4 linked regions of the Rattus norvegicus genome follow. The main gene of each other region encodes a partner of the protein of the gene in region 3 in a complex. Links are inferred from orthologs where the notes say so. Each region holds a gene or a part of one and is shown on either strand. Other genes may lie near its edges.

Evidence for each region.
Region 1: the proteins of Ppp2r2a (region 3) and Ppp2r1a are in contact, whole or in part, in a crystal structure (PDB 3DW8), measured with the Homo sapiens proteins. The link is inferred for Rattus norvegicus from reciprocal best matches to the Homo sapiens genes PPP2R2A and PPP2R1A. Residues at the interface, in NP_002708.1 of Homo sapiens: Pro103, Gln104, Lys105, Asn106, Ala107, Phe110, Lys123, Arg127, Lys129, Pro131, Glu132, Gly133, Tyr134, Asn135, Leu136, Lys137, Thr147, Val149, Thr150, Thr151, Leu152, Arg153, Val154, Pro155, Phe157, Arg169, Arg170, Asn186, Ser187, Asp188; in NP_055040.2 of Homo sapiens: Leu10, Tyr11, Ile13, Ala14, Val15, Ile17, Asp18, Arg21, Ala41, Leu42, Arg46, Glu50, Leu51, Phe54, Asp57, Thr58, Tyr60, Asp61, Thr98, Val99, Glu100, Glu101, Thr102, Trp140, Phe141, Thr142, Thr178, Pro179, Met180, Arg183.
Region 2: the proteins of Ppp2r2a (region 3) and Pabir1 are in contact, whole or in part, in a cryo-EM structure (PDB 8SO0), measured with the Homo sapiens proteins. The link is inferred for Rattus norvegicus from reciprocal best matches to the Homo sapiens genes PPP2R2A and PABIR1. Residues at the interface, in NP_002708.1 of Homo sapiens: Phe84, Leu87, Lys88, Ser89, Leu90, Tyr178, His179, Asp197, Met222, Glu223, Leu225, Thr226, Glu227, Val228, Tyr337, Asp340, Phe343; in NP_612206.5 of Homo sapiens: His81, Ser82, Ser83, Arg84, Leu85, Ile88, Lys89, Glu92, Arg99, Glu100, His103.
Region 4: the proteins of Ppp2r2a (region 3) and Ier5 are in contact, whole or in part, in a cryo-EM structure (PDB 8UO5), measured with the Homo sapiens proteins. The link is inferred for Rattus norvegicus from reciprocal best matches to the Homo sapiens genes PPP2R2A and IER5. Residues at the interface, in NP_002708.1 of Homo sapiens: Glu91, Ile92, Glu93, Glu94, Asp116, Tyr178, His179, Asp197, Leu198, Met222, Leu225, Thr226, Glu227, Val228, Thr230, Ser247, Phe280, Phe281, Glu283, Ile284, Ser287, Cys334, Tyr337, Glu338, Asn339, Asp340, Phe343, Lys345; in NP_057629.2 of Homo sapiens: Ala7, Arg9, Ile10, Ile13, Ser14, Lys17, Arg25, Gly26, Lys29, Leu30, His31, Lys32, Leu34, Leu35, Val36, Leu38, Val39, Leu40, Arg41.

The regions. Positions count from the first base shown.
Region 1 is NC_086019.1:69,222,369-69,227,238, reverse strand, and holds part of Ppp2r1a (serine/threonine-protein phosphatase 2A 65 kDa regulatory subunit A alpha isoform), read right to left. Parts: intron 4,728-4,870; coding exon 4,580-4,727; intron 4,474-4,579; coding exon 4,318-4,473; intron 2,709-4,317; coding exon 2,594-2,708; intron 2,489-2,593; coding exon 2,418-2,488; intron 2,000-2,417; coding exon 1,865-1,999; intron 457-1,864; coding exon 283-456; intron 1-282. UniProt on the Homo sapiens protein: The PR65 subunit of protein phosphatase 2A serves as a scaffolding molecule to coordinate the assembly of the catalytic subunit and a variable regulatory B subunit.
Region 2 is NC_086019.1:231,540,340-231,544,964, forward strand, and holds Pabir1 (P2R1A-PPP2R2A-interacting phosphatase regulator 1), read right to left. Parts: upstream 2,379-4,625; 5' UTR 2,317-2,378; coding exon 1,456-2,316; 3' UTR 1,072-1,455; downstream 1-1,071. UniProt on the Homo sapiens protein: Acts as an inhibitor of serine/threonine-protein phosphatase 2A (PP2A) activity. Inhibits PP2A activity by blocking the substrate binding site on PPP2R2A and the active site of PPP2CA.
Region 3 is NC_086033.1:45,390,462-45,395,331, forward strand, and holds part of Ppp2r2a (serine/threonine-protein phosphatase 2A 55 kDa regulatory subunit B alpha isoform), read right to left. Parts: intron 3,519-4,870; coding exon 3,353-3,518; intron 1-3,352. UniProt on the Homo sapiens protein: Substrate-recognition subunit of protein phosphatase 2A (PP2A) that plays a key role in cell cycle by controlling mitosis entry and exit. Involved in chromosome clustering during late mitosis by mediating dephosphorylation of MKI67.
Region 4 is NC_086031.1:69,819,293-69,824,503, forward strand, and holds Ier5 (immediate early response gene 5 protein), read right to left. Parts: upstream 3,251-5,211; 5' UTR 3,065-3,250; coding exon 2,138-3,064; 3' UTR 1,158-2,137; downstream 1-1,157. UniProt on the Homo sapiens protein: Plays a role as a transcription factor. Mediates positive transcriptional regulation of several chaperone genes during the heat shock response in a HSF1-dependent manner. Mediates negative transcriptional regulation of CDC25B expression.

The sequences.
Region 1 (4,870 bases), on a different chromosome or scaffold from region 3:
AAGGGCTTGAGAGGAAGGATGGAAAAGAGGGTGGGGTCCCAAATAATCATGCAATTCTCAACCCCATTTGAGATGCTAGTCGTGTTCTTGCTCTGACTGAACCCCATTTATCTGCTAAGAACCTAGTTCCAGAGTAGAGTCCTTCCTCCATGGGCAGCTGTCACTGCCTACAAAGGGCAGCTCCAAGTCCCTTGTTACAGCAACAGTGCCCGGTACTGGGGTTATGACTGGACCCTGCTCTCTTATCACTTCAGGGACAGCAAAACCTGGGTCCTCACTCACGAGCTGTCCAGCCAGCAGAGGCATGTATTCAATGATGGCCAGCCGCACTCGCCACTTGGCATCTTCAGCGAGTTCCACGATGGCAGGAAGCAAGGACTGCGAGAGCTGCCGGATGCCAATCACTTCATTCACACAATCCAGGTTGGAAATGATGTTCAGCCGCACCTCAGGACACTTGGAAAGAAAACAGGAAGGTTGAGAGAAGATACTATATACAGCGACCTAAGAAGGGTGAGAGGAACAGCCAAGAGCTCCTTTCTGGCTATTGTCCCTTAACACAAAATATCCACCTAGTCTCACTCAGGGTAGCGGAGGCTATGCAAGGGGAAATGGGAACCACTGGATAAACTGAAAGAAGTATCCAGTTTCTGGAACACAAAGGAATGAATATGCTGTGTTTATTCTCTATCACTCATTTCTTCCCACTGACATGGAACTCTGTACCTTGAGATGCATGTGACAAATCTCTGACTAGAGGTATTATGAACTCCAATGTATCCATTCACACTCATTCCATAGGGCAGGGACATCTATGGGAACAGACATGTGGAGCAGCCGCACATTGGCTATGAAGAGAAACTTCTCCGGAAAACTGAAAATGCAGACCCAAGAGCCTTATTTTTTTCTTGTGGTGCTAGAAACTAAATCCAGAGCTATCAATGTTAAAACCTTTCAACTGACTTCACACACCATTTTTAAGAAAGACTTCTTGAGTACAAACAGCCTATGAAGCATCTTTGACCCAGTCTGGGAAAGGGGACAAATCTGCATTCACCATCACAGAATTAGCCACTGTGTAATCTACCAACAAGCTCCATTAAAGACTGTCAGTGGACAGCATCACACTAGTCTGGCTTCCCAGGACCTCTGGCCATCTCTCTTCTCTCTCCCTACCACTGGCTATACTTTCCTAACAGAAAGATCTCTTGCAGCTGCAGCACTTGCCTACAGGTTCAAATCCAATTCTCTAAACTCTTACCAGTGACTTCTTTCATTCTCCATAGTCTAAAGCCACTTGCACAAGCAAGTATGGTGACCAGACTGGCTATGGCCAACAGAGCATGTAGAAGACACAAGCTAGAGCTATTTCAATGGGACCTTCAGTGGGCCAGGAGACAAATTACAGCTGTGGCATCAGACCAAGAAAGCCAGGCCAGCAAGGCTAATCTGTCACAATAGGGCCAGCTGGAATGATGTGAGAGGAATAATCATAACTGACTAGATGTTACTGTATTCTAGTCTCTATGTCACCTAAAGCTTTAAACCGTGGCCCACCTCTCCCAGTACCTACAATTTCTGAGTGGAATTATGGAACACTTTATCTCTCTGTTCCTCTCTACTGGCACATTTGTAAGTCCTTAAAGATCACCACTGTCTTGGTCTTTGTTCATGTCCTAAATACTCAGGAGACAGATGAGTGCAAAATTAAGGGAACTTGAAGCAATGTCTGAGAAGAATGAATGAACAAGCAGACATGAATGCCTGTCATCTACTCAGCAAAGCAGGGAGTGTGGAGTGTGATGCCAAAATTTTATACTCTTGGATAATTGATTGATTCTGCAAACCTTTCTGCCACTCTTACCTCATCCTTCAGCTGAGCCAAGAACAGGGGCAAGAGGTGTTCGATGGTATTGTCTTTGCCCAGAATGGGAGAGAGGCCCATGATGACTGAAGCCAGTGCTGACTTGACATGTTGGTTGGCATCGGACACGAGTTCCTTCAGAAAAGAATGAAGGAGGTAACAAAGGTCAGAAATCCCCTTTAATTGCAACTGGTCACATAGATAGTAGCCCCGATGGCCCAAGAAGACCACAGTCTTCTGCTTTTCACATATGTGGGGCATCACAGGGCTGCACTGGATTTATTCTCAACAGGGATTGTTTGTTATGTGAACCCCAACCCAGGGTCACTGCCTCATTCTCCAAAAACTCTGTTCATAAGGGGACTCTGGTCTTGGAGCAGCAAATACATCCCTTAGACCTTAGGGTCAGCAGCAACCCTCAGATTTTGTCTACAGCTCAGTTACTACATCCCAAAAGGACTGAAAACCTGGCTTGGATCAGACTGTACCTAAAACAAAGTCTTCACCCATCTCTAGCAGTCTCAAATCCTACCATCAAACACTACTCTATTACCTTGATGCAGGGCAAGATCTGGGTCATGATCACATTCTCCCGGCAGTCAGCTGAGAGATTTTCACAGAACTCTGTGGGCAGGGACAGGAAGGTGCTGGTGAGACTTGATGCTCTGAGCCCATTTGTGCCTCTTAGAAAGCCACCCAACTAGTTGTGTTCTGGTTGCCAGCACCAACCTTTGACCTTGTGGGAGGCTGCGGCCCTCACCTCGGCCTCACAGTCTTTCATCAGGTTCTGGAAGGCAGGCACCAGATCTGTCTTAGTGATCTCAGGCCCAACTGCTTTCTGGAGCTGTACACAAAGAGAAGAGGAGCAGAACTGAAGAGTGTGGCAGCCACTCAGGGCTAAAGAGGCAAAAATGGAGAAGAAAGCACTAGAATGAGGTTAGGACACAGCACAAGGGACATAGTCCCAGCATAAAGACATGACCAATCAGTGAAGTTGTCACCTCTCTGATGACATCTTCAGAAATAGAACGATGGTTACAGGACATCCTCCACAGTATGTTTTACATTTATTGTTCAGGTTCTTTGAGGTTGAATTTCCCATTCCCTAAACACTGTTAAGTGGTTCCTGCTTTCACTAACATGAAAATATGTAAACATACTTAACAGTTTACTAAACTGGTTGGTATAATTTTCAAAAGTAAAATGATTAAAATGATTAAAAACAGTGAAGAAGGAAACACATGCCAGTAACAAGGATGTAGGAAAAGGATCTAGAACAGACAGCTTCAACTAGGTTGCTGGAAGAACAGTTGGGAGCAGGATGACTCTCTACTACTCAAAGAATTAAGCCTGCTTCCCTTGCAGATCAGAAGCCTGACTTGCCTTTACTTGGTACTACGCCTCCCAGGTACACATACTTCTACATGGCCAGGTCTCAAACTACTTTACTAGACCCAGGAATACAATCCTTAGGGATGAGTCTTCTAGCAGACCCCAGAAAACTAACCATCACAATGAGGAGCTCTTGTCCATCATTCCTGCCCCTTTGCTCACTTAATCTCAGCATCAGGCCATGAATGCTCCTGCTTTACTCTGTCTCTTATCTCCTACATACTCTGCACGGGCTTGTCTTTTTGTTCTGACATATTTCTTATCTAACTGCCACTCAATTGCAATGCCATCAAGCACACAGAACAAGACATAACATACTCCATTAGAACTAATATTTTTTAAAAGATTTATTTAAGAAGAGGGCATGTGACTGCATTACAGTAGGTTGTGAGCCACCATTGCTGAGAATGAACTCAGGACCTCTGGAAGAGCAGTCAGTGCTCTTAACCGCTAAGCCATCTCTCTAGCTCCCATCAGCACTTTCTAGTGAGGCTGACTTTTAGCCTGCTCCTTCAAGGCCAGGAATGTGTACACATAACTGACTCCAGAACCTCTACCAAAGGTAGTGCTAATAACAAACAAACAAACAAACAAAAGGACATAACTATGGACCTGCGAATATTGCAACAACAGTAGAGCACTTGCCTAACATGGGTTAAGAACTGGGTTCAACTCTCAGTATTAACAAGGGGAAAAACAACAACAAACCAACATGCTCTTGGCTAAGAAAATTTGGATCTTGGCACAAAGAGCACTTGTCCCTGATCTGACTAACATGTGGTTGATGACAACTATTACTGGGGCTGTGTCTTTCTTAGGGAAGTTGTGAGTTCAGGAAAAATGCTTTCATGGAATTGAAACTTGGCTTCAAAATCATTCTCATTACAGCACTTTGATTCAAATCACCCACAAGGACTGGCTCTGGGAGATGATTCGGTTGCCCATTAAGACTCAGGACGGACTGCTGTCCTAAAAAATAAAGCATGTCATCTCCTATATGTTGCTCCCTCCTCCCCTCAGAAAGCTTCAGTGTTCCCATCTGTGGAACTATGCCAACTTACCTCTGTGAATTTGTCTGCCACCATGTAGCGGACACGCCAAGACTTGTCCTCAGCAGCCTGTCGCAAGGTGGGCATCACTAAGGCCTCCAGGTCCTCCTGGGGCAGAAGCTGGGCGATATTCACGCATGCCTCTACTGCCAGCAGCCGCACCGAGTCCTGGGAAAACACAGGGAGGGGCAGGGAAGCAGAGGCCCACTGAGCCTTAAGGGTGCATTCCTTCCTCAGCTAGCAAGGGCATGGTGAGAGTTGGTGACTGGCTTACCTGCTCGTCAGAGGCCAGGTTAGAGAACATGGGAATGATCTCACTCTTGACATTGTCCAGCTCCAGTACCTTGGCAAACTCCCCCAGCTTGGAGGCAGCGGCCCGCCGCACCATGGGGGTATCATCTGAGCACAGGTTCCGGAAGTACCTGGAATTGGATGGAGGCCCAGAGTTGGAATCCTGGAAAGCCCTACCAGCTGGTGTCACAGTATAGCACAGCACAGAACAGCACAGCACAGAGCACTGCTGGGTCTGCAGTAAATTCTGGTGCTGACAATGGTGACTTTGTAC
Region 2 (4,625 bases), on a different chromosome or scaffold from region 3:
TCTGTAGGTGACAACTTTAGAAAGTTAAGTAGGAATTTTTGTCATGTCTTTCTTATTGTTTTGTTTGTTTGTTTGTTTGTTTGAACCTGTTTCTTTGGGTCTGTTATTCATTCAATCTGTCTGTCTTATCTTTCCAGGACAGATGAAGTACTGTAAAGAAGTGTAGTATAAAAAGCATTTGCTCTTTATCTTAATTGTAAAAGAAAAGCACCACATACTTCTACCTTTAAGAAAACCTAAGTAATGAGTTATGGAAGTGACTGTCCCTCATCTCCTGCACCTCACGGGCCTTTACTTAACTACATCTCCACTGCTGTTAATAAAGCTCCAACCATAGATGTATCGCACTGTTAGAAATCCAAGTCAGGGGTACCTTGTCTAACGATGGCCTAGCTTGGTGGGAGGTGGGAAGTACCTGTTGGCAAGGAAACAACTGCTTCCTTCCTGAGCAAGGGAAAAATATGAAGGTGACAGATGGGCAGACCAAAAAAGCAGCCACAGCTGCCCTGGCTTCTCGTTGGCAAGAATTTTAAGAACCAAGTCAGGACTGGATAGCTTAAAGTCTATCAAGGATTGAGAGAGCATCATCTGTCTGGGTGTTTTCCCACACATTTACATTTCACAAATGTTAAATTTGAAATGGTAGCAAGAGCCTTGCCTTCGCTTGTCTAATGTGAGCTAAGACTACAAGGCACTGTCCCATTGCATGTTTAGGATTATACCCAAAAGAATGCACTTTCTGGTTAAAAATGTTTTCAAAAAGAAATTTCATTTTTGTAGTTATATTAGTGTGATTTACTAGAGTTACTATGAAAATTGTTAGAAAATGTCCTTATTTACTTTCATATACTTAATTTTAAAATATTTGCTGCAAAGTGTTATTTCTCCTTTTGTCGTTTTTCCCTCCCACCCACCTTTCTGCCTAGGACATTAAATATCAAGGGCTCCTGGGTAAACTAGACAACCAGTGGACTGATATCACTAACATTATTTTAGCTGTAAGAAGGTAAGTTCTTCAGTAGATGGAAAATAGCAACCATTGAAAAACACCAAAAATTAGTGTGCCATGAATTATGGAATTTTAAAACATCAGTTTACTAAACTGAAATTCAACATTTATATTTTCATCAGAACTTAATAATCCCATAAATAAATAGAGCTCTCAATTATTTAAAAAAATCAAGGGATAACATATGTATTTAGACATATTAGCAGCGTAAAATGTATGCTTCAACACACTTATTGATAAAAAGTCCGAAAATATTACTACACTGAATTCAAGGGCATCCGCAGGAACCTGACATAGAAATTCTCTAGAATAACATTTCAGGAATTTCCAAAAAGAGGGAAGAGTCAAATAGGAAACAGCTTCAACGTAATCGACAAAGTTCAGTGCTTGCTCTAACTTGATTTTTTTGTCTCTCCATTGGGGGAGGGGGATTCAAGACGAGTGAGTCACTTTGAGGAAAGTTCATCTACTGGAATAAAGGGGGAGGCTGCTTGGGCAGGCGACACAGGAGAGTCGGTGGTAGTGCTGACTTTCGCTGGTGAATTACAGGAAGATCCGGCACTGCTGCTGTTTCCATCCAGGGTATCAGAAGATACACACACTCCGGGCTCTGACAGCTGTGCAACGTCAGAAGAAAGCATGTTGGTGATGCCCTGGAAAAATCTCTTTGGCTGATAATCAGTTTCCATTTCACATTTTCTTTTCAATGGTCCAAGAACACTTGGTCTAATGCAGTTGATGGGACTCTGGCTTCTCCGGGTAGTAAACCGGGTGGTTGGGCTGGGAATAGGACTTGGAGGCAATCCGTTGCTACTCACAAAACTTTGCAAGGACGGTGAAAAACACTGCTTCCCAATTCCCCGGGTGGGTGACGGTGCTGGAGACACCGGAATGAAATCGATGCGCTTTGGAGAGGCGGATTTCTCCACGTCGTTGTCACTCAGGCTGAAACTTTCCTCCCAGGAGTGGCTTATCTGCATTGCGGTCTGCACCTCGCGCTCGTGGACCGTCTCTCGGTTGATCAGGTCCATGCCCTCCTCTTGTTTGATCTGGTGCAGGCGGCTGCTGTGCATTCGGACCGGCGAGGCCGGGAGCAGCAGGCCGTGGCGGCTCGGGAACGTCGTGCTGTTCCTCCTGGCGCTAGGCGCCTCGGCCTGGAACACCGGCGAGGAGTCGCTGAGGCCGTGGATGAGGGGGGCGCTGTTAGACCTCCGGAGGCCCCCGCTGCCCGGGCCGCCGCCTTCCGCTGGGCTAGCGCCCGTGCCCGCGGGCAGCTCCAGGTCCAGTTCCATCTTCTCCTGAGCCATGTCGCGGCAGGGAGGCGGGGGCGGTGCTCAGTCAGGGCCCTGGGACTCCCATTCCCCGCGGCCCAAGGCCGCCGCCGCCGCCGCCTTCGAGAATCTGTCAGAGGGCTCACGCCTCTGCGCATGCGTGTCCCTTCGCGCAGGCGTCCTGACACGCTCGTTCTTGAGGCGCCAGCTTAATGCGTCATTGCTGTGGCGCCGCGGCGGGGAAGGGGCGAGCAGTGGTTGGGCGACTCCTCTGTTCGTTCCTTCCGCAAATAATCACTGGGCGCGGGCTCGCGGGAAGGCTGGTTAGAGAGGCCGGGGCGCTCAGAAGTATATGTTTATGAAGCAAGTATGAGCTCAGAAAGATAGTCCCTTGGTGATGTGGGGCTTCATGATGGAGCACGGTCTAGCCTGGGTGGGCTTCCCGAGGGATGGAGCACAGGCTTCTGAAGTCTAAAGGAGGCAACAGCGGCGCTTTGTAAAACTGTCCTGAAAGCGGGAAACCTCTGCTGCCCAGCTAGGTGGCAGATGGGAACCAGTAGAAGAGAGTTGTTAGCCTGATGGTGGACAAGAATAGGTTCTGGTCTTTCTTGAGAACAATAAAAACTCCCAGGCGTTCTCAAAGAAGGATAGAAGGGTACAGTAGCAGCTGAACTATTGGAGCCTTAGGCTGAGATCTGAAGAATAAGACATGGGAGTAGAACCCACAGGGAAAAGGCCAAAGAGGAGGGTAATTTACCCCAGGGCTGAATCTGGGAGGGGAAAGGGAGAGAATAGTAGACTTAAGGTGATTGGGAGGAAGAAGCTTTGTGACATTTTTTTAAAGTTGTCATATTTCTGCTGCTAACCATTTACTTACTCATGCTCACTCGGTATGGGAATTCAATGAAAGAAAAAAAATGCACACATTTAAAGAATAACAGGTTTTGGTTTATGTAATTAATACAAAACTTTGTATCTCATTAAATAGAATTGTATTTGTTCATTTATTCAGTCAACTCTCCTATCCGGGCACACCTACTTACTGTATTAGGAAATGAGACTTGTGTGAGGTCATTCACTTGCTACTGGATGGGAGTGGGGATTGACAAAATAGGAGACTTTTGGTGTTAAGTGTTTGGGAGAAAAGTGGGATGGTGTGGTCTAGCACTACTGATGGAAGTTAAGGGACAATTGGGCAGAGTTAAGTTGTAAGTTACAAATCCTGTGGACTGCAGAAGGTGGGGGCAGGACCAAGCGTTCCAACCAATGCTTAAGGGCCAACAGACCCACTGGCTTGGCGACGAACAGGAAAGAAAAAGCAAGATGGAGACAGTGATCTTGGAGGGCAAAGGACTGAGCACCTAGTCCTTTGATGAGAAGACACTGAGCAGTGTTAGGCAAGGGAATAATAGGCTTGTGCTTTGTTCATCTGTTATGGTTTGAGATGGAGTCTCACTAAGTCGTTGCTCGGGCTAATCTCAAACTTCTGGGCACCAGTGATTCACCTCAGCCCCGAAGGAAGTAGGACAAAGCTATACAGTGCCACACTCAGCTTGGTTTATGTTTTAAACACTAGTCTGGCTCCATGGAATATGAGCTGAAAGAGGGCCAGAGGCAAGAGTGGAGGCCAAAAGATAGGTTAGGAAGCTGCTACTCAGCAGAGTTCTGGAGTAGGGTTGTAGCAGTAGTGAATGGGGAGAAGTAGTGAACCCCGACACTATGTAATCGGGTTCAACCACTAAGATTTGCCAATAGATTAAATGTTGGTGTTCAAAGAAATAGGTAATTTAAATGGTTATGTCAAATAGGAAAGGTACACGGGGTGGATGTTAAGAGTTCAGTTTGGGTAGGCTTGAGGAAGTATAGATATACATCTGGCCACTTTGAACTAATAGTAATATTTTTTTTTCAGCTGAAGAAGGTAAGATACAGAGGTCAGTGACATGCAGCATTGCACAGCTTGTTAGTGGTGGGAACCACGTCTCCTGTTTCCTCATCTATATGTTTTTCCACTTGATCTCAAACAGGTTGTAATCAAAGTTCTTACTAAACATAGATCCTGAAGATAAAATAATGTTAAGCATTCATACCTGTTACAGAACTAATCTACACAATACCACATCCCATTAAATCCTTCCTTGAAACAGCATCATGGGGTAGGTATTATTATTGATGCCAGTTTGCAGGGAAAACCAGAGATTTAGTAGCACCCATAGAGAACCAGGCCTTGGTGGGTACAAGGCCTTTCTTTGCATGCTCTCTGCTCTCTTTAAGTGCAATGACACTTCAGAACTCAGAGAAATCATTCGTGTATTGGCAGTGTAAAGGCAGTGGTATGAGACAGG
Region 3 (4,870 bases):
AGCAAGACATTTTGAATGATCTTTTTTTTTTTTTGTTCTTTTTTTTCGGAGCTGGGGACCGAACCCAGGGCCTTGCGCTTCCTAGGTAAGCGCTCTACCACTGAGCTAAATCCCCAGCCCCTTGAATGATCTTATATAAGCAAAATTGAATATCATAGTTTTAAAATAGCCTGAAAGCCATTTTAAAAGTGATACAAGACAATCTACAGGGAGACACTAGAGCAGCCATTTCTACTGCCTGCTTGCAACACTTGATTCAAGTGTAAACTCCTGGCTTCAGCATCTTACAGTGTACCCCTAAGCTCTCATCTAGATCTTGTTTGTGATTCCTCTGCAGCTAGGCTCTGCTTCCAGTATACTACTAGGCTTACAGACAGATGGTTGAGTAATAGGTGCTCACATAAAAGCCATTTACACTCTCTTTCTTAACTTTGGAAGACATAAGCATTGCTTAGAAATCCCTTTCTGAAGATGAGAATGACAAATACCCCCCACCCCGAGCTCTATCTTCAGTCTATTGAAATTCATCAACCTTATAAACAGTCCAGATAGGACCGTAACATACCAAACTTTCAGATGGGATTAAATTAGTTCCTATTTTCTTAGAGAAAAACAAAACAGCGCATGTGTGCACACAGGCCCATGCCCCCCCCCCAACAAATAAAGCCCTCTAAAGCAAACAAACAACTCTGACAAAATCTGAAAGAATTTTTTTAAGGTACATTTTTTTTCAATCATAAAGCTTGTGACTTAGAATTTAAAAATGTTTTTGTTTCAGTCATGGAATACAGAACACTGAAATACTATAATAGTTACATGATCTCAGTGTAGTACACTGGGAAGCAGGAAGACAGGAAATAAAATTGCTACATGAAAATCCATTTAATTAATTATGACTTAAAAATATCTTGCCAAAAGCTCTGAGAACAACCTCTTTACTAGTGCTCATGCTCAATACGGTGAGCAGCAGGACTCAGGGAAAGGCAAACAACTTTTGTTTCTAACTCTGCATTTAATATATAAGGGCTTTGATGCTATGTCTCACAGTAAACATGGAGGCCACCCTATGAGTGCTGACATCTCCGAGATGCTTTATGTACATCAAAACCATTGGGCATGGCTCCAGTTTTACCCTTCCTCTACCTTCTCTAGCCCTTCACACTCAAACACAAGTCTGTAAAATGCTGACCTTTTAAATACTACCATATTGGGCCCTATTTTTAAACACATATCCCCCCAAGGTGTTACCAACGTCTTATTTAGATATCCCCCACCAATGTATGACTGTCTAATTTAGATTATCAGTAATAACAACGAAACACTGCAATCTGTTCTTTCAGGCTTGTAGTGGTTTGAATAATTATAGCCCCCATAGTCTCATGTATTTGAAAGCCTAGTCATCAGCGGTGGGCTTTGAGGTTTCCAAAGCCCATGCCAGATCCAGTCTGTCTGTCCCATTCCTTTCCATATCCCTTGCCCCTCCATGATGATAACGACTAAACCTCTAAAACTGTAAGCCAGTCCCAATTAAATGCTTTCTCTTATAAGAGTTGCCTTGGTCTTGGTGTTTCTTCACAGCAACAGAATAGTGACTAAGTCAAGGCCCTTAAATAATTTGTAGCATTATTCAGTATTTTCAAATGTAGGCACCTACTGTGCTTAGAGATACTGTCCACTGTCTATAGAACACACAGACTCCTAGGAAAGGAAGGTAAGGTAAGTATGTAACTGGGTATAATGTTGCCTTTAATCTCAATACTCAGGAAACAGAGGGAAGCAGAGTTTTGTAAGTTCCAGGTAGGCCTGGGCTACTGGTGAGTCCCTGTCTCAAAAAAAAAAAAAAAACAAAAAAAAAAACAAAAACAAAAACAAAACAAAACCAAAAATCAACTCTAGAGACAGAAATACCCTTGACCATAAAAACAAATATTTTCAAACCACAAACTACAATATACAACACACTTCCCAGGGATATTTGTTTCTAAAAGTAAAACAAAACAAATATATAAACACATAGTATAATCATATTACTTACTTGATGCAAAAAAAGTGTTGAAGAGCTATTTGATGTACCTCAGTTTACCACATAAATCAAAATGGAAGCAAGACTAGAAACTATCATCTGATTCTTCTATCAAGGATGCAATGTATTGCAGCCGTGTTATATCACTTTCTTTCAGGAAGAGGTGAGGTGGGATACAGTGGGCATACCCATGTTTGGGAGGCCAAAGTAGGATATCAACATTTCAAAGCTATCCTGGGCTATGATGCAAGACTGTCTCACTACCTCCCTTGCCTCGTAAACACGAAGAAATTGTCATTTATTTAGAAAGAGGAAGGCAGAGGGTAAAAAGGGTAAAAAAATTTAATTGAGAGAAAATGGGTCTCCAAGGAGGCATGGAATCAGGAGTAGAGCGATGTTTTATGCACTGCATCCCCATAAATTCAATACAATAAACCACAGGGTACAAGAGTGCACGAAGGGGCTCTAAATATCTCCCACTGTGTTACCCTAAGTAGTCATGAGTCTACACACTCTGCAAACAGAAAGATGTAAGTGCTAAGGTTTGCTTCTATTAATAGTTAGATGAGATAAATGTGAGATTTCTGCTAATGTGTGTCAGCCTAAAGTTTTAATAGACCATGACACCCAGATCTCAAAGTGTCACCCCCATCTCTTCAATCTCAAGGTCCTGATAAGTCAAAACTCACTCTCTCTCTCTCTCTCTCTCTCTCTCTCTCTCTCTCTCTCTGTCTATCTGTCTGTCTCTCTCTCTCTCACACACACACACACACACACACACAAATTTATACTACTCTTAATTTGTCATGCAAAACCTCAAACTCTGACCAACATTACACCCAGCTCTAACCCTTTCTCCCACCTTTCCTTACACAAATACAGCTAACATGAGAATCTTCTTCCACCCATGTGGCTTATAGAGAAGAAAGTGAAGAGCTAGTCAAAGTCAAGGAAGAAGCATACTCTCCTAGAAATCATCCTGGAGATAAATCATCTTCTGTAAAGTTTGGAAAGAAAATAAGCATTTTCTAAGCATTGGGTCTACCTGCCAAGTTACCATGTTAATATACATTCATAACAGTGCTGTAACAAAGACACTGCTACCTATGTCTTCTGGTAAGGAATATTCAACTCAGGATTTGGGATCAACCAAAGGAGGCAGAAATAAAATTGGCCTAAATAAAAAATTAGTACCCAGGAATCTGAATTTGCAAGTTAGCAATAAAAGAAGCAAAAGTAGTAAATTAACGTTCTGCACAAGGGAAGGGCCTGCATCCTCTGGAGAACCATATGCCCATGGATGCCTGAAAACAAAAGATGCACACTTACCATTGGTAGACAATAAAAACTGGGCAGCATTTTTCTGGGGTAACCACCTAATTTTGTTGATCTTCTCTTCTATTTCTAAGCTTTTCAAGTAGTCAAATTCTGGCTCATGGCTCTGGAAGGTGCTGTAAACATTGTATTCTCCTCTGCTATGAGACTGGATTTTGTTCTACAACAGAAAAAAAATATTTGGACTATGTTGAGAAATATATCAAACCATAATCAACTCCAACAGACTCTGAAAATTGTAGATACCCCAACCAGGCAGCTCTATCTTACACCCTATTGTACTGTTTTCTGTATTTAAAATTCTTCAAGGAGAAAGAAAGCTTTACGAAGAGCAAGAAGGAAACACTTAAGTAAGCTTCATTTAATAGGGAGATGGTACACCAAATACAGACTGATTTAATTAACTTGTATATTAAATAGCATAATCATACCGTTAAAGAAGAAAACTGAACACCCATAGTAATGGATACCATTTAAAATGTAAAATGAGAAAGCCACTGATCAGAAACAGCTAGCTGGAGCACATTTTGTCTGCTCTTTTATCTAATCTGATACTTGGTCTTTTTGCCGTTCCTTTCTATATTCCCTACTGAAAAGCTCTTTAAAAGGTGCTCTCATAAATCCAACAACCCATGTCACCCCTTTGGACAACTTTGCTGCCAATTAAGTATGCAACAGCACCCTGGCAACGCCTGCCTGAACCTCTGCTCCATGGCTTACTCTCCTGAGTTCTGATTACAGGAACCTCACACACCAATGCTTAGTTCACTTCGTGCCAGTCTGCTGGTATATATTTGTTCAATTAAAGGGATTCATATAAACATTACTTGTGACCTATCACACAATTAGAAACACTTTTGTAAGAATATTATTAAAAAAATTTACTAGAATCTTCAGAAAAATAAATGATATTACAACTGTATGGATAAGCAATCACTTTAATAAAAACCAAGTTATCAAGTGAAGTATTTATAGCTACCAAAATAGCCATCTTCCCATTCACATCAGAAGAAACCTGTTCAATTATCTCGGAAACACATACTTTGGTTTGTGTCTTCTAACAGTGTAGTCATAACTTTTCAATCACTTATTCTGGCACGTATCAATAATTAGTGAATGGGCTGGTCAAAACTGTGAAGTCTTCAGAATATACCAAGAACACATCCAACCTTGGGGTGTGTTGGTGTGCCACACTCATATACCAAATTCCATAACGTATTTGTTTTTTCATGTATACTAAAATACCACATGCTGTCAATCTTTCACCTAAACTTACCCAAACAGCCTTATATGAAATAAATAAAACTACAATTGAGTTATTATTGTGAATATTGTTTTAATTTTCTTTAAATATATTTAAACGATGGTATATAGTACCATGAATATCTAAGGCTTAAAGAGAACAGAACCTCATGTCAAAAGTATACACGGGTTGGGGATTTAGCTCAGTGGTAGAGCGCTTGCCTAGCAAGCGCAAGGCCCTGGGTTCAGTCCCCAGCTCCGGGGGAAAAA
Region 4 (5,211 bases), on a different chromosome or scaffold from region 3:
TAGTGCCCTGATTAAAGCGTGTTTTATCCTATGTATTATGTACATACTATTGTGGTGATGGAGTAGGAAGGCAACAGCTCTCCTCCTTAAAGAACCAGTCATAATCTTAAAGAGCAAAGCAATGGCCTATTCAACTATGATAATTCATATAGAAGTATACACACACACACACACACACACACACACACACACACACTCTTAAACTAAGGCCAAAGAGCATATTTCCTATGCTCCTTTTGTCTCTTTCCTGTTTCTGCCTCTTAAGCATTCTACTTAGTTAGAAACTAGTGGCATCTTTTGAAGAACTAGCAATTATATTTAAAACTGAGTGTCTAATTGGTTTGCTCCTAAGAGATTACCTCTTAAGTACTGAACGTTTTGCCTCAGACAAAACGGTCTCTTTAAATTGTCTTGGCTGTCATCTGTTTATCGTGACCAAAACCACTTATGTCATCATGTAGGGTGACAAGAGCAAATCAGGAAGTTCTGCTACATGAGAATTAAATTTACCCAACCTTCCTTAGTCTCCTTCTCTGGTTTGATACACATAATTTCACTTTCAACATTTACTTTCTACAACTGAAGACAAATGTCAGCCTTGACATCTAATGGAACACGAGTGATGAACCTGAACATTTAGAGAAGTCAATCTCATCGGTTTCTTCATGACTGGTCCTACTAAGACCTCTAAAGTTGCTTTCTAAACCCCACTCCCACCCCAATTCAAATCTACAAAGTGACCCATGGTCTAATAGATTACCAGATCTGTTTAGGAAACAAAGTTTTGGTGGAAATACTTGATATTGGAAAGGCTGTAAAACTTGGCGTTTAGTATTATTTAATATTAAAGATTCCATCAAGTCAAACTATAGAAAACCATGACTACAGAGAAAGCTGTTTCAGTGGCAGGTTTCAAACTGCCAGTCATTAATTCCAGTATCTATTAGTCCTGTGAATGGGGATGTGCGTGAAAACAAAAAAACCAAACCAAACCCTTAAACGTGTCTCTCTTGATACTTATTCTAGTCAGCCAACAATGTCCCTAGCCTGTGACTGGCTGATACGAAGAACCACACCTTCCATTTCCCAGCCTGGCTGCCCCTCCCCCCACCTGGTTGGAAACCCAGACAAGTGATTACATACATACAAGCAGGTAGTGGAGTTGCTTCAAAATATTTAATACGTGTTAGACACGTAAAGTTACATTTTTATACAAAAATCAATACAGAGGAGGAGAAAATACTGTACAAAAACCTTATCAGCTCCCCCAACCTTTATACAACAAAGACTGGAGTCACCGTATCTACAAAACCATAAGGTCCTTCCACTTAGAGCTCGTCTGTAAACTTTGTTTCATTAAACACTTTTTAAAAGCACTGTGTAGTAAGTTCTGAGCTAGAGCTTTTAAAAATATATCTTTTTCTCTATAAACTCCATATTTCCAAGCTTGAACTCTTCTGTGAAGTTCAGCAAGCTTTTTTTCCCCTGTGGGGAATTGAAGGTCCCTTAATGTTCTGCTTTCCCAGAGTAATCACAGGGTAGAAGCGCTTCTTCTGTGCCAGAGAAAGATGGGGAGGAAGAAAAATAATACAAGTCTCTACTCCAGACGAACTCCCTCTAGTCTGGGGAAATCCTGTGAGAAAACGCCACTCCGCGCCCCGGTGTGGTCCTAGCTTTCAGGAGAGAGGTTGTGTGTAAAGTCCCTCTCTTCCCCAAGATCGATCGGGGAACTCCCCTGTCTCGAACCTTTCAGCAGCTTCCTTTTCTGTGCTGCTGGCAGAGGAAAGTCCCTGTTTGCACCCCCAAAGTCTCGAGAACGGGGAAGGGGTGGTGCATTCCAGAACCACAGAATCGTCTCAACACAAGACAAACTTACACATGGACACACACTGATACAAAAGTTAACGATCGATCGTCCTCTTCCAATAAGCCTCCCACTCTAGGTCTCAGGATGAGACTCGAGAGCCACGGCCCAGCCGGGCTGCCCCTTCCGGGGCGATGTGCTGCCCGGCAGCAACCAGTCTCCCTTACGCGCCCAGCGCCTACGGTCTCGGCTCGTCCTCGCGGCCGGGAAAGGCCCCGGCCGCACTTCGGGGACTCCCGCTGCTCAAGCTCCAGCCGCTCAGGTCCCGGGGGATCAGAAGGCCACGATGGCTGTGCTCCAGGGGCTCATGTCTCTCAGAACCGGCTTGTCGCAGCAGATCTGCCCGGGCTCGGAGGCTTCCGGGCCGCCCTCCTCCGCCTCCTCTTCCTCCCGCCCGGCCGCAGGGCTTTTCCGTAAGAGTCCCGAGAAGCTAGACCCGAAGATGCTGATGAGGTTTGCCACGTTCCCGGTTTCCATCTCCTCGTCGGTGTCCTCCTCGTCGGTGACCGGCTGCTCCTCGGAGTTCCGGCGCGGCTTCTTGAGAGGGGTAGAGCCGGGCGCGGAGCAGCCCGCGCGGCCGCCACCCACTCCCGCTGCGCCACGCTTCCTGGGACACGGGGCGGCTGGCGCCGGGGACCCGTTCTCTGAGGACCGCTCCTCCACGGCCGACGGACAGCCACACGGGCGGCGCAGTGCCCGGGGCCCCTCGGAGCACGCGTCCGAGCTGCCTCCAGAAGGCGCCACGCGCGGACGTTCCACGCGGCCCCAAGCAGCTGCCGCCGAGTCCTCCTCTCCGCCCCGTAGAGCGTCCTCCGCTCCGGACACCGCGGCCACCGGTTCTGGGCTTCCCGCTCCCGGCGTGTGGCACACCGAGGGACGCTGAGGCTGAGGCTGAGGCTGCGGCTCGGGCTCCGGCCAGGCGGCGCGGGCGACCGGTGGGGGCGGCTCTCCCCAGCCAGATGGTGGCCCCGCTACCGGCTCTCCGGGCTGCTGTGGCGGCGGTACCGCCGGGGTCCCCGCAGGGCCGGCCAGGTAGAGGCCAGGGCAGGGGTCACTCAAGTAGACTTGGCGGGCGCTGCGCAGCACTAACGACACCAAGAGGTTCTTGTGCAGCTTGATGCCGCCGCGCTGGACCCGCGAGTTGTAGATCTTGCCCAGGGAGATGCTGACGATACGGTGAGCCTCCAGCTTGAACTCCATCCTGCCTCCTCTTCCAGACGACGGGGTGAACGCCTGCTTGCCTTCTAAAGCTGAGAGAGGCGCGAGAGGCAGGAACAGGTTCGCCTCTGTGGTTGTACCCTCAGCGTGTGAAAGCTCGGTGGAGAAAAGATCTAGTGATGCGTAGTTCCCTCCGCCTTTTCTCCTCAGTCAACAGACCCGTTCTGGGCCAGCCTCTAAACTGAGCGGTGCGGGGCCACACCGCGGTTTATATATGCTCCGCGAACGCCAATCACAAAGCGCCGCCAACCGTTCTGGGCGGGCCGATGCGCCTCGTGCGCCACCCCCGGCCAATCAGAGGCAGAGGAGGAGCCCCGGGGCCGGTTCAAACGTTAGTCCCGCGGAGCAAGCTCTTAAAGGGGGAGATCGCAGGCGACCCTTTGATCAAGTGCGGTGGGATTTGTGTTCTGAGCGGGTGATGTGGTAGAACGAAGCACACAGAACTGTTTGTAGTTAGGAATTCCGCTTTGTGAAGTACATTGGCACACTGTAAGGAACCGAACTATTGGGGCTTTCATCCGTTTAGTGTGTTGGAATCTACTGCACAATAAAGTTCGGTTCCTTTCATGAGCAATTTCCAGCTGCTTACAGCTGGTACAGCTGTAACTTCTGGTCATTCTTGGCAGAAACGGAAGCGATGGCAATATATGACAACTACCACGATATATTTGAGATATTATTTTGGAGTTAGTCCCTTTCCCATTAGCGTTACACTCAGCATTTGACTACAAACAAAAAGGGGAGTTTATAGAAATTTCCAAGCTTCTGCTTTATCAAGGAACAGAATTCAGGCACAAAGTTATTGGTTCTCGTCCAAAGCTGGCATATTTCATTCCATTCCTCAGATTCTCAGTTGTCAGTATAGATTAAATGAAGATGTTACCTACTTTTCCACAATGGTTTTGTCTGTTTAAAAAAATGCACAGTAAGTAATTGATCTATTCTTGGGGAAATCTAGTAAGTTCTAAAAATACAAATAAAGAAGTTCTGGTTCCCCATATTGATTATGTAAATTTGTTTTGTGTCAAGTATGGGCAAAAGTTCCTAAAATTTTCCTGGTTAGTCAATGTAGTCCATCCACTGAGTCTTACAAATTCCTGTCAAAAAGACCACGACAAGATGGTACTGGTGCCTGATGACTCAGTAAATTGCCTCATGGCCCTTTAGTTTCAAATCTAAAAAGGAAAAATCATGTATATACCTTCTTTATTATACAGAAGATAAATGACAGCTCCCAGAGGTAATCTAAATAATAAAATTAACCACAGCTTACACAGAGTCTATTAGTGTGAAAAGTTTACCTCATCCTACAGTAGGGTTTTCCTAACCAATGTATTTATGTAGAAGAAACACTAGTGAGGTAGGCTTGATTAGAGCTGGTTAACAACTAGGATGCGCTCAGATATGATGCTTTGGGGTGCTAGCTTTGGCCATTATCCCTGCTATAACTGAAGCCCAGGGTTCCCCCCTTCCAGGAATTCTCAGTCCACATAGAGAAGGAGAGAAAACATTTATAACATGTAGCAACCACAACGTATGGTCAGTAATAACATGAGGTTCTTCTCCATTTTCTCTCCTTAAAAAAATTTTTTTACAAATATTTATTGAATATTGAAATCCAAGTCTGCATCTAGATCCTGACCACTCACCCTTAAAACAACAGAGGGGTGTGTGTGTGTGTGTGTGTGTGTGTGTGTGTGTGTGTCCCTTCAGGTTTCCTAAGGAATGCAGTCCAGTGAGGTTCTGATGGAACCCACTGTATTACAAATGACCTATACTCATGAGGACACAGTGTATCTGGTAATGCTGTATCTCACAGATATATTTATCAACGCCATGTAGTAAGTGGTACTTGAACTCACGTATGGAGATAGCCCATGTTCCTAACACAGCTTGTTTAAATTTACAGGCTGACTGACAGTACATCTGGGGTAGAGCCTGACAACCTAGTCCTTTCAAAGCTTTGTTTCTTTCATCAGCGCTTCTTTAAAAAAATATTAATTTATTTAGTTTGTGTTTTTTGAGACAGGGTTTTTCTGGCTGTCCTGTCCTGGAACTAGCTCTGTAGACCAAGCTAGACTCGAACTCAGAGACCTGCCTGCCGCTGCCTCCTTATGCTGGGACTAAAG